2 linked regions of the Tamandua tetradactyla genome follow. The protein of the gene in region 1 binds, or shares a complex with, the protein of each later gene. Links are inferred from orthologs where the notes say so. Each region holds a gene or a part of one and is shown in the gene's direction. Other genes may lie near its edges. The genes, in order: FLT1 and VEGFB.

Evidence for each region.
Region 2: the proteins of FLT1 (region 1) and VEGFB are in contact, whole or in part, in a crystal structure (PDB 2XAC), measured with the Homo sapiens proteins. The link is inferred for Tamandua tetradactyla from reciprocal best matches to the Homo sapiens genes FLT1 and VEGFB. Residues at the interface, in NP_002010.2 of Homo sapiens: Tyr139, Glu141, Pro143, Phe172, Pro173, Tyr199, Ile202, Gly203, Leu204, Asn219, Leu221, Arg224, Thr226; in NP_003368.1 of Homo sapiens: Ser37, Trp38, Ile39, Tyr42, Thr43, Thr46, Cys47, Gln48, Pro83, Asp84, Asp85, Gly86, Leu87, Cys124, Arg125, Pro126.

What each region holds. Positions count from the first base shown.
Region 1 is NC_135330.1:193,739,320-193,754,312, reverse strand, and holds the start of FLT1 (vascular endothelial growth factor receptor 1), read left to right. Parts: upstream 1-7,537; 5' UTR 7,538-7,602; coding exon 7,603-7,666; intron 7,667-14,993. UniProt on the Homo sapiens protein: Tyrosine-protein kinase that acts as a cell-surface receptor for VEGFA, VEGFB and PGF, and plays an essential role in the development of embryonic vasculature, the regulation of angiogenesis, cell survival, cell migration, macrophage function, chemotaxis, and cancer cell invasion.
Region 2 is NC_135335.1:10,403,788-10,418,549, reverse strand, and holds VEGFB (vascular endothelial growth factor B), read left to right. Parts: upstream 1-7,323; coding exon 7,324-7,383; intron 7,384-7,648; exon of another isoform or gene 7,649-7,985; coding exon 7,986-8,028; exon of another isoform or gene 8,029-8,362; coding exon 8,363-8,559; exon of another isoform or gene 8,560-8,709; coding exon 8,710-8,783; intron 8,784-8,978; coding exon 8,979-9,014; intron 9,015-9,260; coding exon 9,261-9,474; coding exon of another isoform or gene 9,475-9,496; intron 9,497-9,626; exon of another isoform or gene 9,627-9,748; intron 9,749-10,111; coding exon of another isoform or gene 10,112-10,133; 3' UTR 10,134-10,567; downstream 10,568-14,762. Other genes in the region: TRPT1 (tRNA 2'-phosphotransferase 1), read right to left, coding at 133-204; uridine diphosphate glucose pyrophosphatase NUDT22, read left to right, coding at 1,097-1,576, 2,022-2,120, 2,518-2,615, 2,702-2,795, 3,050-3,190; DNAJC4 (dnaJ homolog subfamily C member 4), read left to right, coding at 3,942-4,027, 4,667-4,760, 5,250-5,434, 5,519-5,683, 6,369-6,455, 6,548-6,662; uncharacterized protein LOC143646665, read left to right, coding at 12,002-12,799; peptidyl-prolyl cis-trans isomerase FKBP2, read left to right, coding at 13,104-13,268, 13,608-13,720, 13,830-13,876, 14,193-14,228, 14,326-14,387. UniProt on the Homo sapiens protein: Growth factor for endothelial cells. VEGF-B167 binds heparin and neuropilin-1 whereas the binding to neuropilin-1 of VEGF-B186 is regulated by proteolysis.

The sequences.
Region 1 (14,993 bases):
AATTGACAGGATTGAGTGTGTTGAGATTTACCCGCCACGTATTCAAGGTTCCTCAACCTTTCCTCCACAAGCCCCGTTCGCCCACTCCCCAGGACCTTCGTCTGTCTCTGGATCCTCCTCCATGCTGTCCTCCTCACAGAGCTGACTTTTGACATTCCCTTTTCTTCCTTTCCAGAACTTCCTCTCTTCCCTGCTGCTATGAACTTGTAACTTCCTTCAAAGCTCAAAGACCCACTTCCCAATTTAGTCATTGGTAATTCCTTTTAGCACTCATCTCATCTTGTTCTTACTTTTAATTCACCTAGAATTGTTTCCTAATGTTTCATGTAAGTGTGACTTTCTCAACTATCCTAGAAGAACTTCTGGGGCAATCATTATGTCTCCCATGTTACCATTTTCAACGGGACTGGCTCAGTATTGTGTCTGGGGCATGCACTTAAACATATTCACTGAATGAAAGGATGCGTGTACTGGATCATATACTGTGACATGAGCCCTCTCTTTCTGATTGCTCCACTGCTGGACTAAGCTGGAGGAAGTTTCAAGTGAGGCAAGAATGACAACGTGTGTGTGTGTGTGTGTGTGTGTGTGTGTATGTGAAGAGGGTTCCTTTGTGGGGAGGAGAGGAAGGGGGACTGAGTGTGTGTGTATCCAAAGGGCAAAAAAAACTACCAGTGTCAAATTAAAATGATTTTTGGATGACTTATAATGGCGAAATTGGGTGATATTCTTCAGCTATTAAATATGATAATTACAAAAGCTATTTAGAAACATGGAAAAATAAAAGGGTCCTATATGAGAAAGAATAGAATGAAATTCACTGAGGTGAGCATAGGGGTCATGCCGAAATGATGAGATTATGGGTCCGTCTTTAGTCCTTCCCCATTTCCATCTTTCTAAAATGTTATATTTTGTAATCAAAACAGTGCATTAAAAGTAATAAAATATGAAATTGATGGTAATTAATATTTTACAATTTCAACTTATGTGTGAGACTAAAGCAAAAAATGTTTATTTGGTACAAAATTTATATTTTGACTAGTGCATTTCCTAATATAACTTATGTAAATAGCTTGGTTGAACAACATAAGTACATGGAACCTTGGGTAAGACATGAGATTTTGTTGGTTTGTCCAGAGTGATGCCCCAATGAATCCCAGAGTGATTTGATCAGTAAGAGGAAAAGTATTTGCAAAGTCCCCTTTGGGGAATGGTGAGAACGGGAAAAATTCAACCTCCCCAACTTGAATTCTTGATATTCTCACAAGCAGTGTGGACAACCAAAGCTATAGGCTGAGCCCCCAATCTTGGGGTTTGTTTATATGAAATTTAACCCCACAAAGGATAGGTCAAGCCTACTTAAAATTAGGCCTAAGAGTCACCCCCAAGAGAACCTCTTTTGTTGCTCAGATGTGGCCTCTCTCTCCAGCCAACACAACAAGCAAACTCACCACCCTCCCCTTCTCTGCGTGGGACATGACTCCCAGGGGTGTGGACCTTCCTGGCAACATGGGACAGAAATCCGAGAATGAACTCGGACTCAGCATCAAGGGATTGAGAAAAACCCTAGAATGAGCTGAGACTCAGCATCAAGGGATTGAGAGAACCTTCTCGACCAAAAGGGGGAAGATTGAAATGAAACAAAGTGTCAATGGCTGAGAGATTCCAAACAGAGTTGAGAGGTTATCCTGGAGGTTATTCTTATGCATTAAGTAGATATCACCTTGTTATCTAAGAGGAAATGGAGAGGCTGGAGGGAACTGCCTGAAAATGTAGAGCTGTGTTCCAGTAGCCATGTTTCTTAATGATGATTGTGTAATGGTGTAGCTTTCACAGTGTGACTGTGTGATTGTGAAAACCTTGTGTCTTATGCTCCTTTTATCTACCTTGTCAACAGATGAGTAGAACATATGGAATAAAAATAAATAATAAGGGGTGGGCCATGGTGGCTCAGCAGGTAAGAATGCTTGCCTGCCATGACAGAGGACCCGGGTTTGATTCCCGGTGCCTGCCCATGTAAAAAAAATTAAATAAAATAAATAAATAAATAAATAATAAGGGGAACAAATCTTAAAATAAATTTAGTTTGAAATGCTAGTGATCAATGAAAGGGAGGAGTAAGGGGTATGGTGTGTATGGTTTTTTTTCTGTTTTCGTTTTATTTTTCTGTTGTCTTTTTGTTTCTTTTTCTGAATTGATGCAAATGTTCTAAGAAATTATCATAATGATGAATCTTCAGCTATGTGATGATATTGTGAATTACTGATTATATATGTAGAATGGAATGATCACATATTGGGAATGTTTGTGTTTCTTTCCTGTAATTTTTTTCTTAAAATTAATTTAAAAATTAAAAAAAAAGTAATATAATATGAAAAGAGAATAAGGGAAAATGTCAATGGCTGGCAGTTAAGTGCTAGGATAAAATGATCAAATTAGCTAATGAAAAAAGATTAGATGGTCATTATACAGATTTCCTTGGCCTACTATTTTCCTTTTAGGTATTACTATCTTTTATTTTTTGTCTTTTTTCTTCCCTAGGATTCTGTAATTATCTGTCTGGACCATTTTTTTTTTTAAACTTTCCTAGAATACCTTGGGTAAGGTTTATCTGCCTTATTCCTCTTACTAGAATCTTCAGTTATCCTAAATAATGTCATGGTAAATGCTAACAAGTTCATGTGCAGCACCATTTGGTGAGTATATATTAGAGATAATGAATAAAGGAGTGATCTGAGTCCTTCCATGGTTTATTCAGCCTCTGCAGATTTCTTTATTCATAAAAGGCTAAATAACTTTTTCAGGGCATTTTTAAAATCATATTTATGGATAATTTGAAGCAGGAGTTATAGAAAATGCACTGCTTGGAAGAATTAGAAACCAAAAAGATGTCAACAGGCTGGAAAAATGGACCAAACCAAAAAAAGAAGTTTAGTAGAAGTGATTCTAAGGGTCTGCCATTTGAGTCCTCAACAGCTATGGCTGTACAAGGACAGGCAGACAAGAGCCTTTGTGAAAAAGCCTGAGGGATTTGAATCAACAGCAAGCTCCCTAAGAGGCTCCAGTATGAAGTGGTCAACAGAAAATGCTCCTTTGATCTCAGGTTGCCATAGCAGACGTGTAGTGTCTGTGTCACAGTCCCTGGGGACTAAATGTAGGAGCAGGGCCAGCCAGGACTCCAGGACTGGGATCCACAGCCTCAAAACGCAGCCAGAAACCAGATAAATCAAAATGAGATCTTAGAGGCACAGCAGCAGTAAGCAGCCTCTACAAAGGAGCAGGGAGTCAGGAACGGGTTGAAGCCTGTGGAACCCTAGAGGAGAGAGGGAGTTCCTGGCCCCATGCCTGCACCCATCTAACAGGTGGGTGCACTGTGGGCACTGGCCCCATCTTTTACACCTCTAGGAGGAGGTTTCCCCCTCAACCTTAGTGCTCTACCAGCTGAGCTACTTTCCCTTCCTCTTTCACCTCTACTCTTCCAAATCTCTAGGAGGAGGAAAATCATAGTTCCGAGGCATTTTCAATCCTGAGTCTCTCACTTGGAGTGACACTGATGAACTGGAACTGCTGAGAGGAGCTGGAGGGGATTTAAAGAACAAGTCATCTGGGAAAGGACAAAAGGAGCCAGGACGTTGAGCCTAGAGAGGCGAGGATGTCCAAGGCACAGGAGGTGGGTGTTTGAATGCTGGATACATTTCCATTTAAAGATACTGGAGCATAGCTGGCTGGCTATTTGAAAAGGATGTGATAAAGGAAATCCATGAATTAGCTCAGTAAATGGGTTAAATGTCTTTTTCCCCCCTTTCTTTTACATGGGCAGGCTCCAGGAATGGAACCTGGGTCTCCAGCAGCAGGTGAGAATTCTGCCACTGAGCCCCAGGTGCACCACCCTTACATTTCTTTTAAGACCAGTACCGTGTGTTTATGTTCTTTGGAAATGGAGAATTTTCAGCCACCACGGCAGGTTGCCATGAGTGAGATTTTTGCATCAGTGGACTTATACATGTCTCACAACCAAAACCATAGATGTGCCCACCTGGTGAACTCAGTGATCTTTCTACAAAAGGTTTGGGATTGTGCTTCGTAGATCAAGGAAACTGAAACTATGAAATGGGCAGTATTGTGAGTTATTTTTCATATAACACGGAACCGTCTTGTAAGGTCATTTGAATCTTGAGATATACCTTCTATGTTTATAGTATGGACAATGCAGCCATGGAGTCTATTTTATTATTTTGTATAAGGCTAACTAGCCCACGTGGGGATGGAACTGTGATTGAGCCTCATTTGCCTGCTTGGTCTATGATGGGAAGATGAGACCCTGGCTTACCTCCTGTCACACTGATGCCCCAGGTTTGAAAACTAAAGCTGTTGGTTGTACCAGTTGGGTTCTGAATGGGGACTGGGAAGAATCCTCCAGAGAATGTTTGTAGCTGATAACGAGAGAGTCTGGTTTTGCCAACCAGGCAGGAGATGAAATGGTCTTTTGTACGGGAGCAGGAAGCTGGTAGATACTCCACTTCAATAGCTTTTTATACCCACCAGGCGCGTTGAATTTGATCTTTGTCATCACCATTATCTATAAAACCCCTTTCATTTGTGGCTTAGCAGGAGAGGGCTGTAGCCCATTCTCACTCAATGGTGTTCTCTGTTCCGAGGAGAGGTTGACAGCTATGCTTTCCTTCCTTACACCTCAGGTAAATGAAATCACTAACAAAACCCTGTGACAACTTGTAGCATTTTGAGTTTTTTGTTAGGAGGCTCACAAAAGAGGAAGTAGTAAAACTCTTCAAAATGCTAAATATAATCAGAAGCCAGCAAATTTCCAAAGGGATAATTGGGGTATTTGAGGGGACCACCCTTACTGCGGAATGGTCTTTGTGTAAATCTGTTAGCATACACCATGACTGTTTTTCGTTTGGTTGGTTTGTTTTGCTTTTTTGAAGGTCTTTTATGTGAAGTTTGTCTTTTAATTTTTTAATTTTTTTTAAACATAACAACATACAAACACCAACATTCTTACCATATGATTATTCCATTCTTGGTATATAATCAATAACTCACAATATCATCACATAGTTGTATATTCATCACTATGATCATTTCTTAGAACATTTGCATCAATTCAGAAAAAGAAAGAAAAAGAAGAAAGAAAAAGGTCCATACATACTGTACCCCTTACCACCATAACTGTTTTAAACTTAAGGTAAAGTATTATTGTCGATTAGCATCTTAGATCTGCTTACCCAATTATAAAGTTTGTCAAATTCATTCCTGGCAGCAGGTTTGGGAAGAGTTGTTTCTCGGTGTGTTTTAAAAACAAAGTTATCCCCCCTCCCCCCAAAAAACCAGTATTTAAAAGTTTGCATTAATAGGCGGGCCACAGTGGCTCAGCAGGCAGCGTTCTCGCTTGCCACGCGGGGTTCGTTTCCGGTGCCTGTCCATGCAAAAAAAATTCTAAAGTTTGCATTAAATTTTTGTAGATTGCACTACGGAAATAGGGATTCCAGGTCCCCTTTCCCCACAGACAGCTCAAGCCTCTCCTTGCGTTCCTGGGCAATTCTCTGTGCCTTGTCTTTTCTGCTCCGTTGTGTAGTCAGCACTCCCTTCCACCCCCCAGCATTGTAATTCTCACTCTGCCTCTCCGTCAAATTCGAAGCCCTTTCCAAGGCGGAGACGACGTCTTTTCTTCGGAATATTTGAGGCCCGACCTCGACGCCTGGACCCTGTGAGGTGCTGGAGAAGGGGGATGCGGACAGCCGCACCTTGGACAGGCGGTGGAAGCGACAAGCAGCTCTGAAAAGAGGTAGGACTGGCTGGGTGGGGAGGCGGAGCTGTGCCCGGGGCTGGGGGGGGGGATGAACGCGGGCAATCCTGCGGCTTTGTAGGAGACAGGTTTAGAGGTGGCAAAGAGAAGGAGCCAGGGAGAACCCGGAGGGCAATAGTGTGGCGAGGCGCTGGAAACAAGCTGGAGAGAGATGGCAAGAAGCTGGCAGACGAGCCCCGTCGGTGCGCAGGGGCTGCCTTTCCTCCGCGCCGCGCGCAGGCCGGGGGCGCCGGGCCTCCAGGTGCGCATACGTGCGTTGGCTTCCTGCGGGGGCCGCGGGGTGCTGCGGCCTCGCCGCGGGCCGTGCTGCCCACAGATGTGGCAACTGGGCATTGCCCAACCTTCCCCAGGCAGGGCGGTGGTCCAGCCGCTCGGGAAGAGTCGCTGGCCCGGTGCAGAAGCCAGTACAGTCCTTTTATCGTGACCTGGCAGGTTCCAAAAAGAATTACGTTTTTAAACCAGCGCTACTTAACAGAGACAAGACTAGGGTGCCCGGCGGAGCCGGAACGGTTTTAGCCGTGGAGGTAAACAGAGACTTCGTGGAGCGACAATGTGGAATTAATGTCATCGCGAGTGATCTAGTGCCCCCAGTGAACTGAACTGGTTTGTTCCCGTCGTGCGCAGACAGCCGCCACCCAGCAAGGAGATTTAGGGACTAAAGTTCAAGCGCTCAGCCCTTATAAGTTGCAGGAGCAGTTTCACGCCTCCGCCTTTTTAAAGGTATTATCACGTTATTCCTTGTTTTGCTTTTAGGAAGCAGAGAGTTGAGGAAATGACTTGGAAGGGGGGAAAAAAGACGGAGACGCGCTCCCCGGGGACCCAAGTGTGTTCGCCCTGGGCTCTAAGGTGCCAGGCAGGCATCAGCCCCCCACTTCGGGGCGCTTCCAGCCAAATGCTCTGCGCCCAGGGTCTCCGGCTTCTTTTTACGCGGCTCCGGACCGTCTGGCAGGGCTGGGGGCGGCGGGGCGGCGCGGAACAAGCAGGGAAGGAGAGGGCGCCCGACTTGGCCTCACTCCTCGGTGCCAAGGACACCGTCGCGGAGGCGCGGCCCACTTCCCTTGGCTTGGAGGAGGGGCGACCGCTCGGACTTTCCGCCCCGGAGTCGGGCGTGAAACTCCGGCCCTCTCCCCTCCCCAGCCCCGGCCGCCCCCCGAGCTGAGTAAGCTGGGGCGGAGGAGCCTACGAGGATTTCCTGACCGCGATGGACTGGAGGCGGGTGGGGGCGGGAGGCGGGAGGAAGGACCCTGAACCTGCTGGGACCGCGCTCCCGAGCCCCGCGCGCGCCCCCGGCCCTCCCGCCCCTCCCTCCAGCCGTCGGGCAGCGGGTCGCGGGAGGAAGAGGAGGGCAGGTGGGGAGGCGGATGAGGGGTGGGGGACCCCTTGACGTCACTGGAAGGAGGTGCCCGGGCTAGGAAGTGGGCTGGGGAAAGGTTATAAATCGCCCCCGCCCTCGGCGCTTCTTAATTGAGGTCCGCGGGAGTTCGGGCAGCGCGCCGAGCGGACACTCCTCGCGGCTCCTCCCCGGCGGCGGCGGCGGCGGCGGCGGCTCGGAGCGGGCTCCGGGGCTCGGGCGCAGCGGCCAGCGGGCGCCAGGCTGCAAGGATTACCGGTGCATGGTGCTCGTCCCCTTCGCTGGAGCGGCGCAGAGGGAAGTCTCGGGCTCAGGGCCGGAGCGCGGGGCCGGAGGCGGAGCGCAGGAGCGCGGGCTCGGGCTGCTGGGTGGTTGACCCGCGGAGAGCGCGGGCACCGGGCGAGCAGGCCGCGTCGCGCTCACCATGGTCAGCTGCTGGGACACCGGGGTCCTGCTGTGCGCGCTGCTCGGCGGTCTGCTTCTCACAGGTGAGCCGCGGGCGCGCGCCAGGGCCGGGCGGGGCCGGGATGGGGCGGCTGGGAGCCAGACCCCGTGGGTCGGGCCAGGTGGACCTGGTGTCCTCACGCAGGGCCGGCGGGAGGGGAGGCTGCCCCCGGGAGAGCCTCCCGGGGCACTTGGGGAGCACACCGTGGGGCCCCGCCTGCGCCGCGGTGCCCTTCTCCTCCGCCGGCGGTTGGGTGCCCGGAGCCGGCGCCTGGGGAACGGCTGCCGGAGGACCTCCGCATCCTCTCCGACCCTCTCGGCCCGGCGGCCAGATTTACTGCTCGCGCTGCGGGCTCGCGGGTCGGATCTGCCCGCGGAGGCTCCGGGCGCCAGGGGTCGTCGCGCACCGGAACCTGCCGGCGCTCGCAGCTGCCCCGGGAAGACCTGGTGCGGGTCCGCGGAGTGTGCGGGGCCGGGCGTTGGCGACAGTCACCGGCCGCGACCTAGATCCCCGAGAGTGGGAAAGAGCAGAGCAGACTCGGAGGGAACCGCGTGCCTGCGGGGACCAGACGGATCCCGGGAGAGGGCAAGTGCTGTCACCCTCGCCCCACTTGGGTCCCGGAGCCGGGCTGTCGTGGGAACAGGGGCCGCCTCCCCACCGCGGGCCGGAGCGCGCTGCGCGCAGTCAGCCGGCGGAGCCCCTGCTCCGGGCGGGCGGTGACCGGTCCAGACCAGGTCGCCGATGTGAGTGACCCGGACGGACGAGGGCAGCCGAGGACCCCAAAACCGCTAAGTTTCTGAATTGCGAGCCTCGCCTTTAAATTCTGAGCAAAGAAAGCACGATTCGGGCCAAAAGATGCCGTGGGGTCCGCTCCGCCTCCTAAGTCTACCTTTGCCAGGCGTTAGGGCAAACAGCGGCGGCGCCGTCAGGGGCCAGGAGCTTCCAGGGGCAGTTGGTCTGGAGCTGGCCCTGGCCATGGAGGCAAAGCCCGGGAGGATTTAGGGGCTCGGACTCGTCGTCTCTGCCCAGGCGCGCGGGGGGCCGCGCCCTCTAGTCGGGTCCTGGGCGCAGAGAATCGGATCTCGGAGCGCCTTCTTTTAAGCATCGTGGAGAAAAGGTAAAATGTGAAATAAAAGATAATAACATAAAACAAAAAGTCATTGCGACGTTTCTCGGCCTGAAGTCAGTAGGGTTGAAATGTTTAAAAATAATAATAATAATAACAATGCTTGTTAAGCCCAGACGGCAGTAGCATTTAAATATTCCTTCTCAGTGGGAAGACAATTAGACCGTCAGTTTCTAAATAGCAAGAAATAATTCCAATTAAGTTGGTGAAACCGGGAGGCAGGGTTTCTGAGAAGTGGCTACAGGTTGGGAAAGTTGCTAAAATAACTACATCAAATAAAAAGTACATCTTTCTGCATTTTGAAAAGTCACTTATGTGGAAATGTATGGCATAGAGCGTTTAAATAACTTGCCCAAGAAGCTGCTCTATCATGCAAAGGAAATCTAGGCAAATTACTGTGAATCCAAAAAATGTCGGGGGAAATGATATGTTCTTATAAATACAGGCAGCTTTATTTCTGCTTCCAAAATGTGGTTGACCCTCTAGTTCTGTTTGCGACCAGAGCAATTACGATCGGTGGGAGCGCTACAGAAGCTCGCGTGGAACTCTCTCGTGATTTCTTCTCAGATTTTATTTTATGGGACAGAAATCTTGGAACTCTTTTGTGAGTTCTAAAAATTTATATATGTGTTACGGGAAGAAGGAGGGACAAACATGGGCGAAGCGAGAACCCCTTTACCTGACTGTCTCCGGAATTTCCGTCTGCGGTGGGGATTGGAAATGGCAAAGCGCGCCTTTGGAACCCGCAGGTTTCCCCCCGCTGGTTAACGAACAGCTCAAGACTAAACCGCGTTAAGACATTCAAACTGAAACGCAGACTGCCACTTTTCGACCCTTTGGGTTTACTAGGAATTGGTTTCCACCTATTGCTAAGTCCTTCGGGTGCTGTAGCCTTTGAATATTTATCAGTTATTAATAATATGTGAGCGCGCATGTGCGCTGGGTCACCAAGATGTGAAATAACCGGTGTGTCAATGACGCAAAAAGATTATGAACTTCCCCCAAAGAGTACATTTCTCTTCTTCCATATATCCTGGGAAATAAAAAGATGCCCATAATTAGGGTCCTTTCAAGTGCTCTGCATTGCCGTCTCTTCCTCCATAAAATGTATCAGTCCTCCTTTCCTCCGGTTCCAAGTAGGCCCCCCCCCCTTTTTTTTTACTTCTAAGCATCAGGCCCATGATTAATTAAAGCCACGGATCCTTTTTTTTTCTGCCCTCAGTTTTCTTGAGCTCTTGAGCAGCTGACGTTTACAATTTTCTATAACCACTGGAAATGCTTAAATTGTAAATCTGTGAGGGAAGTCCAATTAATCATAAGTTTATACCAAAAATAAGAAAATAGTACACATTTCCAATAAAATATCAATAAGCGTCTCATTAAGAAACCTAATATTGCGAAACTATTTTTGTCATTTTTTCCAAGGTTTGTGAAGCCACACTTTTTTTTGGTGTGTTTGTAAATTGCATATTTAAAATAATTATTTAGCACCTTCAGGAGACCGCATAGTTTTCCCACTGGTGGAACCTGTTTCAGATGCCTTGCAGGTAGCCACCTGACTACTCCCTCAATAGCTGTTAAAATAGGGACTTAGGACTTGTTTTTTTTCTTTCTTTCTCTGCTATCAGTTTTATGCTAGTCTATCCAGTTTCTTTTCTAGTGATCACCACGTGGGTTTTTCGTTTTCTTATGTAAAAAAGCAGAAGGCATATAGATGGTTGACTTCTAAGGCACTTTTCCAAATCTTGCATTCAATGAATGAATCCAAGAAATAGCATGACACACTGTCTGTCTCTAGCTTTTTTCTGGCCCCCTTATCTACATTTGTATACAGTATGGATGATAAGCCACATGATGCAAGAGCAGGGCTAGAAGAATAAACCGGGGTTTCCCCAGCTATCACTGATCACATTACTTTTTTTTTTTTTGCACTGAGAGAAGGTACCTGACTAACCAATTAACTTGGTCTTTTGTGAGCTGTGTTTTGCAAAGAGCTAAGCTTTGGGGGCTGCCCTATGAAGTAGACACTACTTCTTAACTCTAGATGATTTGACTTTTCCGAGGATGCAGTCATTTTAAACCCTTATGCATTTCTTGTTTTTTTTTAAATAACATTTACTTATTTGATCAAAACTAACTATATTCTAAGAGTTCCTGAACCCATTTTATGTGACTTCTTAGAAGCAAACCAAAAATCACTTTGTTTTTCCTTTCCAAAATCAAGACATTTCTAAATCTACTCCGAAAGGATATAACACAGCAGTTGAAAATATGTTATGAAAAATGGGTTTATATTGACCAAAAAAATTTAGCACCGAGGTTACTCCTGAGGTTTACCTTGGCTTGCATCATTCAGCATTGGAATAGATCTGTTTTTAATGGCAAGAAGAGAACAAACGGGCGGGCCATGGTGGCTCAGCAGGTAAGAGTGCTTGCCTGCCATGCCCAAGGACCTGGGTTCGATTCCCGGTGCCTGCCCATGTAAAAAAAAAAAAAAAGAAGAGGACAAACAACAGTAAGTAGCTTCTGTAATGCTTTAAATTGAGGTGTGTGTGAGAAGGGATATGGGAATGGAAAGAAAGTGAGGGAAGCTTATCTTGGCGCTTGGGGTTTTAAATGTAAAGCTTGCTGATATAAGAGAGTCCATTTATATCATGTTCCTAGTTCCATTGCTTGGTTTAAAGTATGTTCACTATCAAGTCAGGATAATTCATCAGTGTATTTGTCATTGTGGGTACAGGAGGAAGGTCATTTGAAATGACACCAGCTTCATTCTTTTTTTTTTTTAAGTAAAAATATATAACTGAGTGGTTAAAAGCATAAAAACAGCTGTTGGGTTTGGCTTAAGCAATTTAACAGAGTAGAACAATCCATTCTGCTCCATTGACCTTAGTACATTAGAGAAGCCAATAAAGGAATGACAAGATCTCTTGCCAGATGCTTTCCAGGATCGTTGCTGATTCCTCACACACTTGGATGGCTTGGAAATTGCAGGCTGTTGGTTAAATTGCTGGATTTTATATAAGATCTAGGAAGCAAAAGGAAATGGAAGTGTAGGTCACAGGCCCAGACTTCACCGCCAAGCTGGGAATGGGGAAGATGGTCGAGGCCAGCCCAGAGACCTCGCAGGATCTCGCCTTGGGAGTGCAGACACTCTAGCAATGATGCAAGATAAACTTCAAATTCTGTGGGATGAAATCAGTGGGAGAACTGATGATATGACGATCTGGAGAAAAACATTGCAGACCTCATGACACTGGGTGAAAGAACTGAAAGGTTGCTAATTCACAGAGAAATCTGGAACACCTTTTTCACAAGCCAAGAGAAGACCTAATGGCTTTTTGCAACTACTGTGTGTACACAGATTTTATATTATAAAGTGTGCCTTCTTATATACTGTATTGTTCGTTTTCAGAGTGATTTTTTCCCCCTTTTTCTTGAACATGGTAATTCACATCTTGGACCCTGGTCAGTCATGTTACTAAATACAAAACTAAACACTAAAACTCTGGCAGTTCGTACATAATATTGTCAAATATTTTAGTGTATTTTGTGAAGTTGCTTTTTTCTGGCATTCTTTTTATAGTGGTTGCTGTTTAAAAAAAAAAGGGGTATAATTTAGACATGGTAAATCCTTTGATTATGAGTAGATTTTGTGAAGTTTGATCTTTGAGGAGCTTAGGGTTTAAAATTTTCAGCACAAAGTGGCTATTGAACTAACACCGAATAGTAGGTTGGCAGTATTTTTCAACTGGCCAAAAAGGTTTAAAAATTGTTTATTCAGAAATATTTGGCACTAACTTCTTACCAAAACTCAGAATCAAACTGCAGATCTATTTCTGTTTTAAGTCCCTGAAATAGATGCTAAAGTCGATGAGAAGTAACTTCTGCTACTTTAGTGTGTTAGGATTTTTTAATACAAAAAAACAACAGAATAGCCTAGTGGAATTGAATGTTAGAGTTTTGCATGGGATTCTAATACTGTAGAACCCTACAATGCTCATCTGTGCTGGTTACCATAAAAATTCTGGCAGGATTCTAAAATTCACTTACTCTGTCTTTTCCTTGGAAAAAGAAATGGACAAAGAGACAATAAGCCCGCGTCAGTCGCTGGGCTGAAAATGACACACGATTTTGTTGTAGTAGGATGAGGTCTTAAGAATTACTATTTTATCTAACAATTTCTTAGCTAAATTTTTTCAGAGTAGCCATTTTATTATTGCTCATAGAAGCCAGGGGGTAAAAATTCTTATCACTCAAAAATGTGGCGTCAGGCATGCTAAACCTAGAGGCCAGTATTATTGGCCTCAGAGGAGACTCATGTGATTGTCACAGCAGAATGACTTTATATAACAAACATTTGAAAAATTTTAGAAGTTGAGGGATAGTATAGTTCTTGACAGAGAAAATCCTGAATGAACAGAGTATGATTTTTTTGTTTCCTATGTTGCCAGTCTTGACTGATTTTATTACAAATATATAAAACTACTAAGAAATAGTGTATCCTATTTATAAGTCATATGGGAACAGAAGAGTAAAATTGTCCAGTAATAAAATGGATTAGTGACTGTTATGCCCCAGGTGCAGAAACAACTTTGAGTGGGCCTGTGGGTGGTGCTAGGAGGTCCTTACACCCTTGCCAGGCAAGGCCGGGTGAAACTGAGGCAGGAGGTGCTCAAGCCTAGTAAATGGCAAATGAGATGATCTTGCCTGTTACTGTAGTAAAGAGAATCTGGCTTTAGATGGGAGTTGGGTTCTGTAAGTAATGGGGGAGAAAGATTTCCAAGGCAGTCTCTCCACCAAAAATGTCTGCCATGAATAAAGGTGACTGAAATCCCCACCCCACCCCCCCAAAAAAAGGAAATGGGAGAATGGGATAATTGAGGGGGGACTTGAGAGGAAAGCCTTTGGCTCAGCCAGTGGCACTGCAGGGGGGGGTGCCCTGAGGAAATGGTTCCACTGAGTCTGCCGAAGATAGTGCACTAGATTTCCTGCATTGCAGCCAGGCGGATGTGGAAAGATGTCAAAATTCCTGGGGATTTCCCATCAGTCTTGGTAAACCTGGGTGCTTAAAAGCCATTTCTGATGTCTGGTCCTTTCTCTGATTCTTGAGAAAGAATCAGAGAGACTTGATCTTGTCTTTTGACACATACGTTGGGAGAGCCAGATAGAACCTCATAGACCCAGCAGACTTTCAGAGTTGAAAAAAACAGCCTAGAGAAGTTTTGTGACTTTTTTTCAAGGTCAACAACAGCTGGCTGGGGCAGACTCACAAAGAGAACCTAATGTTCATACTATAGATAACGTTGCTTCTTAAGCTATTTCCTCTACCCCCAACAGAGTGGAGATACTTAAACATTTGTTAAATAGCATGAGTACAGTGCTAAAATTTCTTGCAAATCCAGTATCTTTTTTTTATTAATAGGCTTTTTTTTTTAGCGCACTTATAGGTTTATAGAAAAATTGAGCAGAAAGTACAGAGTTCCATATATCCACCTGCCCTGCCAGTTTTCCGTTATTAACATCTGGCATTATTGTGGCACGTTTGTTACCAATGTTGTTGATGAACTGATATTGATGCATTGTTACTAACTAAAGTCCCTAGTTTCCATTAGGGTTCACTCTTTGTGTTGTACAGTTCTGTGGGTTTTGACAAATGCATTGTGCCGTGTAGCCACCATCACAACATCATACAGAAAAGTTTCACTGCCCGAAATAGCCCCCATACTTCACCCATTCATCCCCACCCCCACCCCTGGCAACCACTGATCTCTATGGTTCTGACATCTTTTTTGTATGTGCAATTACCTTCTATTTGCTTAAATACCATAAGGAGTTTAAATTAAGAACCTCAGAATTCTGACTGTTTTGTAATACACCAAGAGATTTGGTTAGAAGCTTAGTTTTCCTTCCCTTCTTTTGCACCGCTGTGGCTTAAACAGTACTGTCTTCGGTACTAGTTTCGTCTTTCACCACTTCCCCCCTCACACCCTGTGTGACAGTGACACAAGCTCCTCCAGTCAAACAAATCACTCACACTGCTTTGAATGGGTCACGTACCCATCACCGCGTCATGCCTCTGTCTGCCTGGAACACTCTTTGACTCCTCTTGCATCTCCTTCTCCTCTGCCTTCAGAATCCAGCCCCGAAATCACCACCTCTGTGAGCGCTTCCTTGTAGGTCCCAGACAGAACTGGTGGTCTCTTCTGCTCACCTCCAACCCTCGTAGGGCTCCCCTGGTGCT
Region 2 (14,762 bases), on another chromosome or scaffold:
TGTGGTGTCTGGGAAGAGCATGTCCCCATCAGTAGGACCACCCCACTCTACCTGCATTTCCCAGGAAGCCAGGGCTCAGAGCCCTTCTCCCCTACCTTCCCACCATTGGGGCCAGATACGGGAGGCACACACCTGTTCTCGGGGCCTGGAAGCCCTTCTCCCCCTGTGTTCTGCTGCTTCTTGCCTCCCTCCACCAGAGTTCATGGCCAAGGCCTGTGGAGAGCAGTGACATGTGAGAGCTGCTTTGAGGACTCTCTCCCACGTGCCCCCCTTGCTCAAAAGTCACAAAACCCCAGGATGAGACAGCTAGGGCTAAAGGGAACATTCAGCTCATTAAATTTACTTCCCAGCACCCCACCTCTATCCCGTCTCCAGACAGGGAAACTGAGGTGCCGAAGGCAAGACTTGCCTAAAATCACACTGTACGCCAGCCTCGGGGCCCACGGAAGCCAAGTCCCCGCGCTCCGGGCTGGCGACTCCGAAGCCCGAGCGGCGTGGGGAGGGAAGGCTGGCGTCGGGCCTGGCAGGGCGGAGGCGTCAAGGCCGGCCTAGGACAGACAGACGCACAAACATCAGCGAGACGGAATCAAGACCTACAGGCGCACGGTCTGCAGGGGGTCAGGCGGCCGCCCCCAGCAGGGGCCTGGAGCTCCAGGTCGGGCCAATGAGAGGCCGCAGAAGTAGGGGGCGGGCACTTCCGTTCCGGAAGGGGGCGGGGACTGTGGGCCGCGCCTGCGCCTGCGCGTGAGCGCCGGGAGAAGGCCGACGCTTCCGGACCCGGGAGGGCTGTCAGCGCGTCAGGGCTTGGAGGCAGGACCCCTGGGTTTGGGGGACCTGGGTATTTGGGGGTGACTGGACCCAGGACCCCAGGGTTGTAGGGGTGCCCCAGAGTTCCAGGGAAGCCTGCCCAGGTATCCAGCTGGGACCTGGCGAGGATGGCAGGACACCTTACTGCCCAAGCAGTGGTCAAGGGGCTGGGGATTCCCTCAGGAAGACTGGGGCAGAGGGGGCCTGCTGCCGGGCCCAGGGGTGGCCAGGAGACCCTGGAGGTAACAGGACCGGCTGTGTCCTCCCCCAGAGCCGCCCTGCTCAGACCATGGACCCCGAGGTGTCCCTGCTGCTGCAGTGCCCCCAGGGTGGGCTTCCTGAGGAGCAGGTGCGGGCAGAGCTGAGCCCAGCCTTTGACCGTCACCCACTGCCAGGAGGGGACAAGGACATCGCTGCCATCTGGGAGGCCCGGCTCCAGGCCCAGCCCTGGCTCTTCGACGCCCCCAAATTCCGTCTGCACTCTGCCACCCTGGCACCCATTGATTCTCCAGGCCCACAGCTCCTCCTGTGCCTGGGCCTCACTTCCTACCGAGAATTCCTGGGCACGAACTGGGCCAATTCGGCTGCTTGGCTGCGACAGCAGGGGGCTGCCGATTGGGGTGACAGGCAAGCCTACCTGGCGGACCCGCTAGGGGTGGGTGCTGCATTGGCCACTGCAGATGGCTTCCTCGTCTTCCTGCGCCGCTCTCGGCAGGTGGCGGAGGCTCCTGGGTTGGTGGACGTGCCTGGGGGGCATCCTGAGCCTCAGGTGAGCACTCAGCTGGGCACAAAGACCTGGACAGCTCCAGAGATCTGGAGCTCCAAGCCCTCCCAGCTTTGGTTTCTGCATTCCTTAATGTGGCAGTAAAGCCTGTCCTGGCTGTTTGGAAAGAGGTACATGCTGGGCTGGCCTGGTATACTTCTGCTCAGGGCAGCCCCTCAGCCTCCCCACTGACCCCTGCCTCAGCCCTGTGAGAAGCTGGAGAATGGGGGATTGTGGGGGTAGAGGAAGCAGATACCCTACTTCACACACCCCTGGCCCTGTGAGTCCCCTTTGTACCTAAGCCTCTGGTTGTCCATCTGGAAAAGAGGGCCCGGGGCAGGGGAATCACCAAGACTTACACCATGTCACCCCAGGCCCTCAGGGCCAGTGAATACTGGCAGGACAGGCTGGTAAAAGGTGGGGAGCAGGGTCTGAGCCTGACCTCTCACAGGCCCTGTGCGCTGGTGACAGACCCAGGCATGACAACCTCCCCGGGGAGCTGGTGGTACAGGAGCTCTTCTCCAGTGTCCTGCAGGAGATCTGTGATGAGGTGAGTGAGAGGCAGCCCAGGCAGGGAGGTGGGCATGAAGGGAGAGGGTAGAACATGTCAGAATTCCACAGATCCGGGCCGGGGGGTGGGTCTGCAGGCATTTGGCTGGCATCAAAGGAAGAACTTGGCTCTGCTGCTGAGCACACTTGGACTGGGACCTTAGGTTTGTGAAAGAAGAGTAAATGGGAGTCCTAGTTACTAAATCCACTTTCCTTGGGTGACCCCACGCAAATTGTTCAGTCTTTCTGATCTTGATTTTCCCGTCTGTAAAATGAATAATACCATACTGGGCACTTGATCTATAAACTGTAAAATGCTGCACAAAGGTAAGGGGCTGTCTTCTTTCTGGGGGTGGGGGGTTGGGGTGGAAACTGACAAGTGGGACCCCTGGCCCCAGGTAAACCTGCCGCTGCCCACCCTGAGCCGGCCCCTGCTGTTGGGCATTGCTTGCAACGAGACCAGTGCCGGCCGGGCCAGTGCCGAGTTCTTCATACAGTGAGTGGGCTCTGGGGGACAGGATGCTGGGTCCTGGGGTAGGTGGCTGTGGGGCAGGGCTGAGACACCCATATGTCCTTTCCCAGGTGCAGTCTGACTTCCGAGCAGGTGAGAAAGCACTACTTGAATGGGGGACCCGAGGCCCACGAGTCCACAGACATCATCTTTGTGGAGACAGAGGTGCGGGTCGGCTGCGTTTTGCCTGGGCTAGACTGAGTCCCCCAGATCTCACGGAGCTTTCCTCCGAAGCCTCAAGGCTTCCACTTGGGAATGCCTTTGGCCAAGGGTGAGGGCGAGCTCACCTGCTCCAGCCCCTGACATGTCTTCCTCTGGAGGGTGCATTCCCGAGAGCTCTGCAGCTCAGGCAGAGGTGAGGGCTGGATGTCTGGGTCTCCCTGCCTGCCCAGTGGCCTTCACCACTTTCTCCCCCACAGAGCCTGTGGAGGCTGCAGGAGACCCAGGGCTGGGCCGAACTCTGCCCCTCAGCCAAAGGCGCGGTCCTCCTCTACAACCGGGTCCAGGGAGGACCTGCCTCAGTCGCCCCACGATCCCCAGCCCAGTCACCACGGCTCTGAAGACAATAAAGGACTTTATTCTTGGATTCTGTTGGTGTCTGCAACTTCCACGAGATACAGGCGCCCACTGGGAGTGACTGAGCGAGACAGGGCAAATGACTTGGGGGAAAAAAACAACAACACACAAACAAACCCAGCCCCGCTGCAAGCTGAGGCCGAGGGCTGTGTCCGCTTCTTCAGGCCCCGGGCCCCACTGCTGGGTCACCGCGGAGCCGCGTCGGCTGGACCCAGGCTGGGCCCCGCCCGCTTCCCACCAGGCCGGCCCGCGCCTGTCAGCACGTCCGGGGGCCGCGGCCTCGCAGGCGGGGCCGAGGCATCAAGGGCCAATGGGCGTGCAGGGACGGGGCCTTCCCCGCACACCTACTCCTTCCGGCCGGTGGGCGTGGCCCTGGCGTCTAAACCAATGAGGGCGTAGGGGCGGGGCCTCCGAATAAGCGCAGGAAATGGCGGTGGCCGTGGAGTCCGTGAGTGGGGCAGGGGCGGGGCTTAGCTGCGACTCCTCCCTTGCCCGCCCCCACCCCCAAACTCCCTGGGCGAGTAGCAGGGGTGGGTGGGTCTCAGCGGCGTCCGGAGCTGGTGGTCGGGACACCAAAGGACCAGCGAGGGGAAGGGCCCCGGAGCAAGGAGGCCCTCAGCCTTCTTTCGCAAGATCTCTTCCCTCTGCCCCCGGGGTGCCTGCTGTCTCGCCCCATTCCGGTCCCAATGCACACCTCTTTGCGGTCTCCATTCCCCCAGCTGCCCGCCCGCCGCCATGCCGCCCCTGCGGCCCCTGCACCTGTGCCGGCTGTGGCCCCGCGGCCCTCCCTCCCGGCTCCTCGGAGAGGCTGCCGGGCAGCGGTGAGTCGGGCGTCGGGGGCCCGGGCCCGGTCGTTCGCTGGGTGTTCGTGGAGGACCTGCTGAGCTCTAGTCCCTGCCTTCTGTGCTGAGTTAGTTGTGGTCTCTCTCCCCTGAGCCAGGTGCCTTACGGGCTTGGTCTCAGGTAACCCTCACCTTCTGTGATTAAGGGATGACCCCAAAGACATCCAGCAAGTTCAGTGGCAGACCTGGAATTCGAGCCCCGGTGTCGTTCAAACCCAGTACGCTTTCCCCAACACTAGTGGTTGTCAAACGTCACTGCATAACCCACCTGGGGAAGGGGGAGAGCTGCAAAAATGCAGGCACCTAAGGCCTGACCTGGATATTCTGGTCTGGAGGAACGAGGTGGAGCTCAGGAATCAGTTCCTTTAACAAGCTTTTCAGATGTTTCTGATGCAAGGGGTCAGAGAACCACAGACTGAGAAGTGTTGATCTGCACCATGCCTGACATCTTAAAAAGGAGGCGTGTTTTGGGGATAGCTCTGCCTGGGTGCCTTCCTCAGCCCCTACAGCTCCTGGCTACTGAGTCGAAGAGTGTGGCCCAAAGAGGTGGGGTAGAATGGGGAGAGGAATATCCCCTGGGTTCCCTCAGCTCCTGCAGGTTAGGGCCTCTCTCCACAGGTCTGGCCCCACTAACTACTATGAGCTGCTGGGGGTACATCCTGGAGCCAGCGCTGAAGAAGTGAAACGAGCTTTCTTCACCAAGTCCAAAGAGGTACCAGTCGCTCTATGTGGGGCCAGGGGAATCTGAGCCAGATGTAGTGGATTGGAGTTCCCAGCAGTGAGACTGAGATAGAGCTGAGCTGGTGCCACATTCCCTCAACCTGCAAGATACGGAGTGGGAGGTGCCTTAAGAATAGAGAGTCCTGGGCCAGGCAGGAGGAAAGGCTTGGGCAGGAGCCGGGGGTCCTGCCTGGGTTGGGCTAGGTTCTCTTGACCTGCTTGTCTGCTCTTGATTGAGAAGGCCTAGAGCAGAGCACACAGTGAGAGAGGGTATTGGAGGAGACCTAGCAGGCAGGGAGGGCTTGAACAAGGGCAGGGGGCAGGCGTCTGAGCTTCCTGACCCTCTGGCCTTCCAGAAGGGTAGGCGGACCTGAATAAAAAGGTCACCGACCAGCCAGGGCCTCTGGGAGTGATTTGAGCCCTTGTGGGTGGACATTGTGAGCATGGCAAGGGAAATGAGGGTAGCCCTGCCCTACCCCAGCTGCACCCTGACCGAGACCCCAGGAACCCGGCCCTGCACAGCCGCTTTGTGGAGCTCAATGAAGCATACCGGGTCCTCAGTCGCGAGCAAAGCCGCCACAGCTACGACCACCAGCTCCGTTGGGCAAGCCCCCCGAAGTCTCCAGGAACCACAGCCCACCCTAGGCCAGCCAGCCACACACACAGGTACAGCAGTCCCGCCCCCAGCTTGCCCCCCTCCCCCCCCCAGGGAGACCTCATCCCCACATTATTCTTCTTGCTCCCTCCCAGCAGCTCCTGGGAGCCTCCCAACGCACACTACTGGGCCCAGTTCCATGGCGTGAGGCCGCAGGGGCCTGAGTCGAGACAGCAGCAGCACAAACACAACCAGCGGGTGCTGGGGTACTGCCTCCTGCTGATGCTGGCAGGCATGGGCCTGCACTACGCCGCCTTCAGGTGTGTCCCTGCTCTCCCTGGGAGGATGGGCAGAGGGCAGGAGGGAGAGAGAAGCTAGCATGGGGAGCCCCTGTGGCTCCCACCTTTGTATTCTTCAAGCTGAAAATTGCATGCAGTCCAGCCTTTGCAGCACTTGGCAGAGGCATGGGTGCTCATAGCTAATGCTGTCACTTCTAGTTTTTCTTTATTTGAACGTAAACCTTTGGCGCCAGCTGCCAGGAAGCACTGGAGCCAAAGAAATCATCAACAACAAGCAAATGCCTTTTAAATATGGTCTTGCCAGCAACTGTCCTCACTCACCCGGGAGTCTCCCTACCACTCTCCCTTCCAGGCGTGCCAGGCAGTGATTTTCTAAAGCAAAGATATATAAGGCCCAGTGCCCGCTGCTAGCAGCCTGCCCAGTTCAGAGATGGGGTTAGATGCACAACCCTTTCCAGTCTTCTAATGCAGCACCCTGATGTCCAGTGTCACTGTCAGCACCTTCAATGTCACAGCTAGGGATGTGGTTGCCGCTCGACCCTCGACAAACCCTGGCCCACTCTGCCCCTCTCTCCACCTATCACAGGCAAAGTTAGGCTGCAGTACCCATAGGTGTAAAACTTTGAAGTCCTGGGGAAGCAGGGAGGGCAGGACTTGGGGGGCACCAGGGATGGGGAGCCCAGGGTTAATAACAGTCCCCTTGCAGGAAGCTGGAGCAGATGCACCGAAACTTCATGGATGAAAAGGACCGGGTCATCACAGCCATCTACAATGACTCGCGGGCCCAGGCCAGGTCTGTCCCTGTTCTTTCCTGCCCCCACCTTACTGTCCTGGCACGGTCCTGCGGGATGGCTTCCCCAACCACCCAACTGCTCTCTCCGCCAGAGCCAAAAGAGCAAAGCTCCAGCAGGAGCGACAGCAGAGGCGGCAGCAGTCGCCAACGCCGCCTCCCCGGCCTCCTCAAGACCCCGGGATCGTGTCCCCAGGCGCCAGCCCCTGAGGGGCTCGCCCGGATGGCGCCTGTCGTGTGTCCTCCTCTGGCTCCACTCCCGGAGCCCACCCCCACCCCCAAACGCGTGCAATAAAGTGATTTTTAGAGCGCCCGTCTGACTCCCTCCTTCAGGCCCGGTGCCCCCCACCCAGGGCCTCACCATGGGAGCAGCGCTCCGCCCTCCGGGTTCTGGAGGCCGCAACCCGGGACGGGAGTCCGGCCCCCTGGGCGGTGCGTCCCCTTTCCCCGGCCGCGGCGGGAGGTGGGGGGGTGTATGGAGGGGGCGGTCCCCGCCAGCGGCCTCCCCCCCCCACTTCCCCGCAGCCCCCGCCCCGCCCCCGCCCCGCGGCCCGGTGGGGAACGCGTGTCTGGGTCACATGAGCCGCCCGCCCGCCAGCCCGGGCCCGGCCCCCCGCTGCCCCCGCCGTTCCCGCTGCCTCCCGCCGCCGCCGGCCGCCCGCCCGCCCGGCTCCTCCGGCCGCCGCCGCTGCGCTGCGCTGCGCTGCCTGCACCCAGGGCTCGGGAGGGGGCCGCGGAGGAGCCGCCCCCCGCGCCCGGCCCCCGCCCGCCGCGCCCGGACCCGCGCCATGGGGCTTTGGCTGCCACCGCCCCCGGCGCCGCCGGGCTAGGACGATGCGGGCGCCCTCGGCGCGCGGCCCCCGCGGGCACCATGAGCCCCCTGCTCCGACGCCTGCTGCTCGCCGCGCTCCTGCAGCTGGCTCCCGCCCAGGTACGACCGTCCCCGCCATCCCGCCCTCGCGCCGTGCCCTCTCTCAAGGTTGGCGGAAGTGGGGAGGCGCGGCGCGCCCTCGGCCGAGGGGACCCGCGGGGCCCAGCCAAGGAGCCGGGCATCGCGGGGGCTCGGTCCGGGCATCTCCCGGAGGGGCCCCTCCCCGCCTACCCGTCCGCCCAGCCATGGGGCCACTCCCTCGCCCCACCCAGCCCCACCCAGTCCCACCCCGTCCCTAGGGCGCAGCCGGAGGCGGGGCCACCTCTGTGCCCGCAGGACCCGGTTTGGCGCCCACGGTGCCCCCTCCCAACCTGCGGCCTCCAGAACAAGCCCAGCCTCGAGGCTTGGAGATTCCTCGAGGCTTGCCTGCAGAGCTCCCCAGGCGGGTCATGGGCCAGGACAGGTCCCAGGTGGCCGGTAGAGGACAGGTAAGGCTAGAGCAGTGGCCCCAGGAACAGATCAATCTGGGAAGACATCAGAGAGGTGAAGCCTCCTGAGCACAAGGGCAGCCCTGGAACAGCACCCTGGACAGCCTGTCCTAGAGGGTGCTCCAGGTTCAGGGAGGTATTCCCCTCTCACCTCTGGTCTCTCCTCTCCCACAGGCTCCTGATGGCCAGCCTGAGATCCCCAGCCACCAGAAGAAAGGTAACAGTGATGGCAGTAATAGTAACTGCCAACACTGAGGGTCTGCCACCTGCCCGGGCTCCGGGTTTCATTATCCCATCATACTGTGTAATCACAACTCACTTATGAGATGCAAACTGTTACTCTGCCCATTTCACAGAAGGGGGAATTGAGGCAAGGCAGTGGGATTCCTGGGGTCTGCATCAGCAGGGCAGGGAGGACAGAAGACAGGGAGAGGATGGTGGTGACATGGGACTAGGGAGAACAGCTGCTGGGAGGGGAGAGTAGGGGAACCAGGGAGCAGCTGCAGGAAACCCAGTGGAAACTTAACCCCTCCCGCCCGGTCTGCCCCCAGTGGTGTCATGGATAGACGTGTATGCCCGCGCCACCTGCCAGCCGCGGGAGGTGGTTGTGCCCTTGACCGTGGAGCTCATGGGCACAGTGGCCAAGCAGCTGGTGCCCAGCTGTGTGACCGTGCACCGCTGTGGTGGCTGCTGCCCTGACGACGGCCTGGAGTGTGTGCCCACTGGGCAGCACCAAGTCCGAATGCAGGTACTGGGGCCCCGGGAATGCACCCTCGGTGCAGGAGGGGGGGGAATGCCAGCACTCTGGGGTTAAGACTGGGGGCCTAGAAGGTTGGTGTGTTGGCAGCCAAGGTCCTCTTTGTCTCACCATCTTGTCTTCCTGTCCTCCTGAGCACAGATCCTCATGATCCGGTACCCGAGCAGTCAGCTGGGGGAGATGTCGCTGGAAGAGCACAATCAGTGTGAATGCAGGTGCCAGCCAGGCCCAGCTTCTGCACTCACAAAGACCAGGCTTGGGGTGCTGGGTGTGATGGCACCTGGGGGTGGAAACCAGGTTTCTGGGAGTAGAGCCAGGGGTAGGCCTGGGATCTGGGAGAAGAGAGTGGGATGCTTGGATTTCCTGATCCTCCCTCTCTTTCTGTGTGTCCGTCTCTCTTAAATTTTCAGACCAAAAAAAAAAGAGAATGCTGCGAAGCCAGACAGGTAAGCGTCTTGGCTCCCACTAAGGTGGGGTTGGAGCTCAGCCCCAGCCCCCAGGATGTCCCATGGGGGCAGGGCAGGGGTATATGAATGTTTCAGGAACCTGTGGTCCCCTCCCCTTTTTCTCCTCCCATCCATCTCCCTTTTCCCTTCTTCCCTCTGTTCCCCGAATCCACTGTGGTCTGACCCAACCCCAGCTCCCGGGAAGACGCTGCCTTCCCACCCTGGACATGTTGCTTCTCCTCCTAGGGCTTCCACTCCCCACCACCGCCCCCAGCCCCGCTCTGTTCCGGGCTGGGACTCCGTCCCCGGAGCACCCTCCCCAGTTGACATCACCCATCCCACTCCAGCCTCAGGCCCCTCTGCCCACGCTGCTCCCAGCGCCGCCAGCGCCCTGACCCCCGGACCTGCCGCTGCCGCTGCCGACGCCGCAGCTTCCTCCGTTGCCAAGGGCGGGGCTTAGAGCTCAACCCAGACACGTGCAGGTGAGGGGTTTGCGAATGGGTGTTGGGGAGGCATCAAGGCTTTGCCCTGGAGCAAGTTCAGGGCAAACCTGCCAGTGGGAAAGCAGCCAGGGGAATGGGAAGTTGTTGAATGTGTTGAACAAATATTTACCAGGCGCCTGCTGGCACTAGGACAGTGTAAGAGGGATCGCATTCTGGTGCGGGAGGGGGATCCGAGGGCAAATGATGCCGGCCGCAGATGGCGCACGCTGCATGGGGGACGTCTGACCACTCCTGCAAGAGGTCAGAGAAGGTACCCTGGAGGAGGTGCCATCTGACTGTAGATGTAGAATGAGGGAGACAGTGTCCTAATTTGCAAAGCTGTGAACCTTCCCAGAAGCCTTTAAGACAGACACTGATCCCACTTTATGGGCTCTGAGAGTCCAGGGGATGTGTGGAATCCAGTTTACCACCCCTACCCGAGGCGTTTCTCACCCCTCTACTCCACACCAAGGCCACAGGACAGGGTGTTTTCAAGTCAGGTGGGGCTTATTAGGATTCTTAGGAGAGAATGGGGTTCACAGAAGGTAGTAAGAGGGTAAACCAGAGGAGCTTGGGTGCAGCTACAGTGAACAGACTCCCTTCTTCCCTCCTTAGGTGCCGGAAGCTGCGAAGGTGACACATTGCTTTTCAGACTCAGCAGGGATACTTCCCTCACAGGCCATACCCGAGAGGGGGACAAGAGGGGAGCCTGGTGAGGACAGCCTAGCCCCCAAGACCTCAGCTGGGGTGCAAGCTGCTCCAGGACCTGGGTCTCTCAGAGGCCTCTCCTGCCATCCCTTGTACCCCCAAGACTGACATCCAACATGGTGGGCACAGTTGAATGAGGAGACATGAGGGCATCCAGAGGAATCATGTACCAATTTGGAGGAAAATAAGATTCCTTCTATTTTAACCATCCTGTGCAAGTAAGCATCTTACACCTAGCTCCTCCCTGCCCCGCTAAGAAGACACCAATCCTCTGCAAGTAATGAGATTTGGGTTTTGGTACAAGGGCTGTGATCCCCCAACTCCGATAAAAGAAAAAAAAAAAAAAAGATGGAAGGAGCTGTCCCTGCCTGTGTCGTTTGTCACTGTCCAGGCTGGCTGATTCGGCATGAATATGCATCACATTGCCTTCAAGAGGCAGAAGTTGTGTTCTCTCTGCAGAGGGGACATTCACTATGACTTCAGGGGCAGAGGTTACCCCAAAGCTGCTACCCCAACAGAAGCTTTTCTGGGGTGTGACATTGGAGGGGGTGGTAATGATTTCGGTGGGCTGGAAGCGGGAGGGGAATTAAAAGGAAGAAGACAGTTTCAGGAGACATTGATTACTATTTTCAAATCATTTTCTCAGCCCTGATGTTACTCATCATGCCACCTGCCAGAGTGAATCACATGAGGGTTAGGGGCCCTAGAGCTACCATCTCCTCAACCCACTTAGCCTGCCAGACAGCCAATGCACTTTAATTCTCAGTGAGGTTGGTCCTGGCATTTTCTTTTTATATTTGAGTAACCGAACTCAGCAAAGCTAACGGACCTGGCGCTTTGACCCCAAAGTGCTCCCTGACATACCATTTAGGATTGACTGCCTCCCGCTGTGGTTCTTTACTCCAATTGACACATGTTCACTGGGCACTGGTAGGTGCTGGGGTACTTGAAAACGACAGTCTGATGGGGGAAACAGGCCCAGGCAGACTCAGTGATGACTCGGTGGTCAGTTAGCAGCAAGTATAAGTCAGCCCGAGCACTGAGGGAGAGAAAGGTAAAGAACGTTCGTTGTAGGCTGGGGCCTGGGCCCAGTGCTCCACACCAATCCTACAGAAGTCCTATGTTACAAGGCCCGTGTTCCCAGGGGAGCTTCATTCTAGCAGCCCAAGGACCTTGCTCAAGGTCACACAGCCAATCAGTGAGTGGTAGAATCCGAATTCAAACCCCAGCCTAACTCTGAAGACCCGGCTGTTTCTACAGCAATTAAGGACTGTACATTATGAAGCAGCTCATGGGCAAACAGGGCGACCGGGGAGAGGCTGGGGGCGACAGAAAATGGCGTCTCAAGACCCCCGCGGGGAACCCAAGACAGCGTGACCTCAACTTCACCTCTGCCGGAAGTGCCCTCGGGCCTTTCGGAAGTCACTTTCATCTAACCTTACTCACTGCCGCCCACCGGAAGTGACGCAGGGGTCACGCGGTGGCGGGGGAGGCGGAGCCAGGGAGGAAGCCGCCCCAGCGGGCTTGGGGCCGCGGGTTTCGCACGGTCCAATGAGGGAGGGCGGCGTGGCCCGGTCTGGTAGCGGCGACAACGCGCCTGCGCAAAGGCAGCCGCACAACTGGGGTTGAGTCCGGGGGCGCGGCAAGGAGGTGAGCGGGGGCCACAGCCCAGGCTGGGGGAAGCCGGGGTGCAGGAGGGCAGCTTGGCCAGGCCGGGCAGGAGCGGGCCGGGGCTCCGAGTGTTAACGACGGATAAGTTAAGAGGAAATTGGGGTTTGGGGTCGGAGCTGCCTGGGGATGCCGCAGGGGGCGGGACCGCACGCTTCTAGGGGTGGAGCCCCGGGACTTGGGGCGGCCGGGGGAGCCGAAACGGGTGGGACCTCGGAGCCGGTGCCAGGGGGAGGCGGAGCTACGCGACGGGTGGCGGAGCCAGGGCCGGTGGGGGGCGGGGTCTGGCGCTTGGAGGAGGAGCTGGAACCAGTGGAAGGCGGAGCCTGGGGTTTGGAGGCGGAGGGGGACGGAGGCCAGGTTCTGGGGGTGGGGCCTCAGGCAGTGAGAGGCGTGGCTACGGTTCAGGAAAAGGGGTCTAGTTCTGCCGAAGGCGGGGCTCCAGGGCAGGGGGCGGAGCCACTGTCGGTGAAAGGTGGGGCTAAGGAGCCCACCGAGGGCCTAGCCCCGGGTAATGGCTCGGGGCGTCCATGCGCGGGTGGGCTGCGTGGAGGCCGGGCCTGGGGACGTGATAGACCAAGAACTCCCCCAGGAGAGGTGGTGTGGGTGGAGCGGGCTCGACGGCCACCGGACACGGGGCCAGTGTGGGTGCCCCGGAGACCCCCGAGGGCCCAGAGTTGGGGCGGCGCCCCGGGAGGAGACAAACAGCCCGGCTGGGGAGCCCCTCCGGAGGACCGGGGCTCTCCGGAGCCTCCCAGCGGCGATGTGTGGGTGCCTCGGGGTCGGCCTCCTGCAGCAGCCGCAGAGGTGTGGGTGTGCTGGGTCGGGGGCAGCTGGGTGTGGCGTGAGTGGGACCGCCCCGTCGGGGCGTCCGCTGTGCAGCCGGAGAGAGTTTGGACTTTACGCAAAGGGACGGGTGGAAACTGAAGAGTGGGACCGGGGAATGGGAGGGAGGGAAGGTCTGGGGGAGAGCAAAGGGGCGGGGCCCTGGCAGCTGTGGCCTCCCCTGACCCCCTCCCCCCGCTGCTGGGGTCCTCGGCCAAGCCCCCTTCTCCCTGGACTGGTAAGTGTGGCCGCGGAGTCCGGGGGAGGGGCGGTGACCCGGGACAAGGGAATCAGCAGGGGCAGGCATGATACAGCGGGAGCGGGGTAGAATCCTCCAGGCACCTGCCTGTGTTCCATGCCTTCTCTGCCCTCTTCCCGGTCCGGCGGGATCTGTGCCTGCAGAGACATGAGGCTGAACTGGGTCCTGGCAGTACTGTCCGTCTGCCTGAGTGCCCTGGCCACGGTCGCGGGTGCCGAGGGCAAGCGCAAGCTGCAGATCGGGGTCAAGAAGCGGGTGGACCACTGTCCCATCAAATCGCGAAAGGGTGACGTCCTGCACATGCACTACACGGTGGGTGTGGGAGGCGGAGCTTTGTGGGGTGGGTGGGGCTTCTGGGAACCAGAAAGGACTTGGGAGCCAGGTTCTTCCACTAACCACGTGGAGAACCTTGGGCAAGCTCCCTCTCCCCTGGAAGCCAGTTTTCTTGATTAAATCCTGCCCTGGACTGTCTACTCCCCAGGTTGGCACCAGCAAGTGACCACAGCGCGCTGTGAGCTGCCCAAGGCTTTGCGTCCTTCAGGGACTGTGGCCACCAGTGCTGTGGGGGCCAGCTTGATGGGGGGGCAGCTGGGGGGAGAGGGGACTCAGAGCGGTCCCCTCCCCCTCACTGGCCCTCCCACCATCCCACAGGGGAAGCTGGAGGATGGGACGGAATTTGACAGCAGCCTGCCACAGAACCAGCCCTTTGTCTTCTCTCTTGGCACCGGCCAGGTCATCAAGGGCTGGGACCAGGGGCTGCTGGGGTGAGTCGGGTCCACGGCTGTGGTCCAGATGAGCCATGGGAGGAGGGCCCCAAGGGTGGGGGTAGGGCGCCTGGGGCCTGCCATGTGTTGAACATGTGTCTTCCCGCAGGATGTGTGAGGGGGAAAAGCGGAAGCTGGTGATCCCATCAGAGCTAGGTGAGAGACTTCCCCAGGGAGGAATGGGGACGATCTGGGGGTATGTCTGGGGAAGGGGGTAGGAGGAAGGGGGAAGGCTGGTTCAGCCTCTGTGCTGGTCTCCACCCCATCCTTTCATTCCAGCACTTGCCTCTGCCCAGACTGGCCTGGGTCCAGCAGTGAGAATAGGGCAGTATCCTTTAGACACTCAGTTCTGGTGTCCACTTTCTGCCCTCTCTTCTTGCTTTCTCCATCACACCTTCTTTTCTGACCATCTTGTCGAGCTGGAAGAGGGCCTGGCCACAGCTCACTTTGTTTCTTTGTGTATCTTCAACAGGATATGGAGAGCGGGGCGCTCCCCCAAAGATTCCAGGTAACATACCTTCCTATGTCCACCCCCCCGCCCCCTCCCCCATGCTGCCATCCCTTCTCCCTGTAGCCTTGTTTCTGACCCCACTTCTCCCCTACAGGCGGTGCAACTCTGGTGTTCGAGGTGGAGCTGCTCAAGATAGAGCGACGTTCAGAACTGTAGCCCATCTGGGGAGGGGCAGCTGGGGGAGGCCCCCCATCAGGGACCAGACTGTTTCAAAACAAAACAAAAACCTTAAAGCCCAAGGAGTGAGCCTGTGTTTCTTTGTGGGCCCTGACTCGAGACCACAGCCTCAGCTTCTCCTTTCCCTCAGCTACTCCCCCCTTCTCTCTTCCAGGCAGCAGAACCTAGGGGTCTAGGGTAAATGGCACGGGAGTCAGGATGGCCAGCCCTGGGTGGCATGGTAGCCCTTGCCCAGAGGGAGAGGCAGGTTTCTTGCCTGCAGACAGCATTGGCACCGCTCCCCAGCCATTTCACCTCCTGGTCTGGGAGCCAGCACTGGGCTATCACCATGGCTACGTGGCCCTCAGGAAAGCG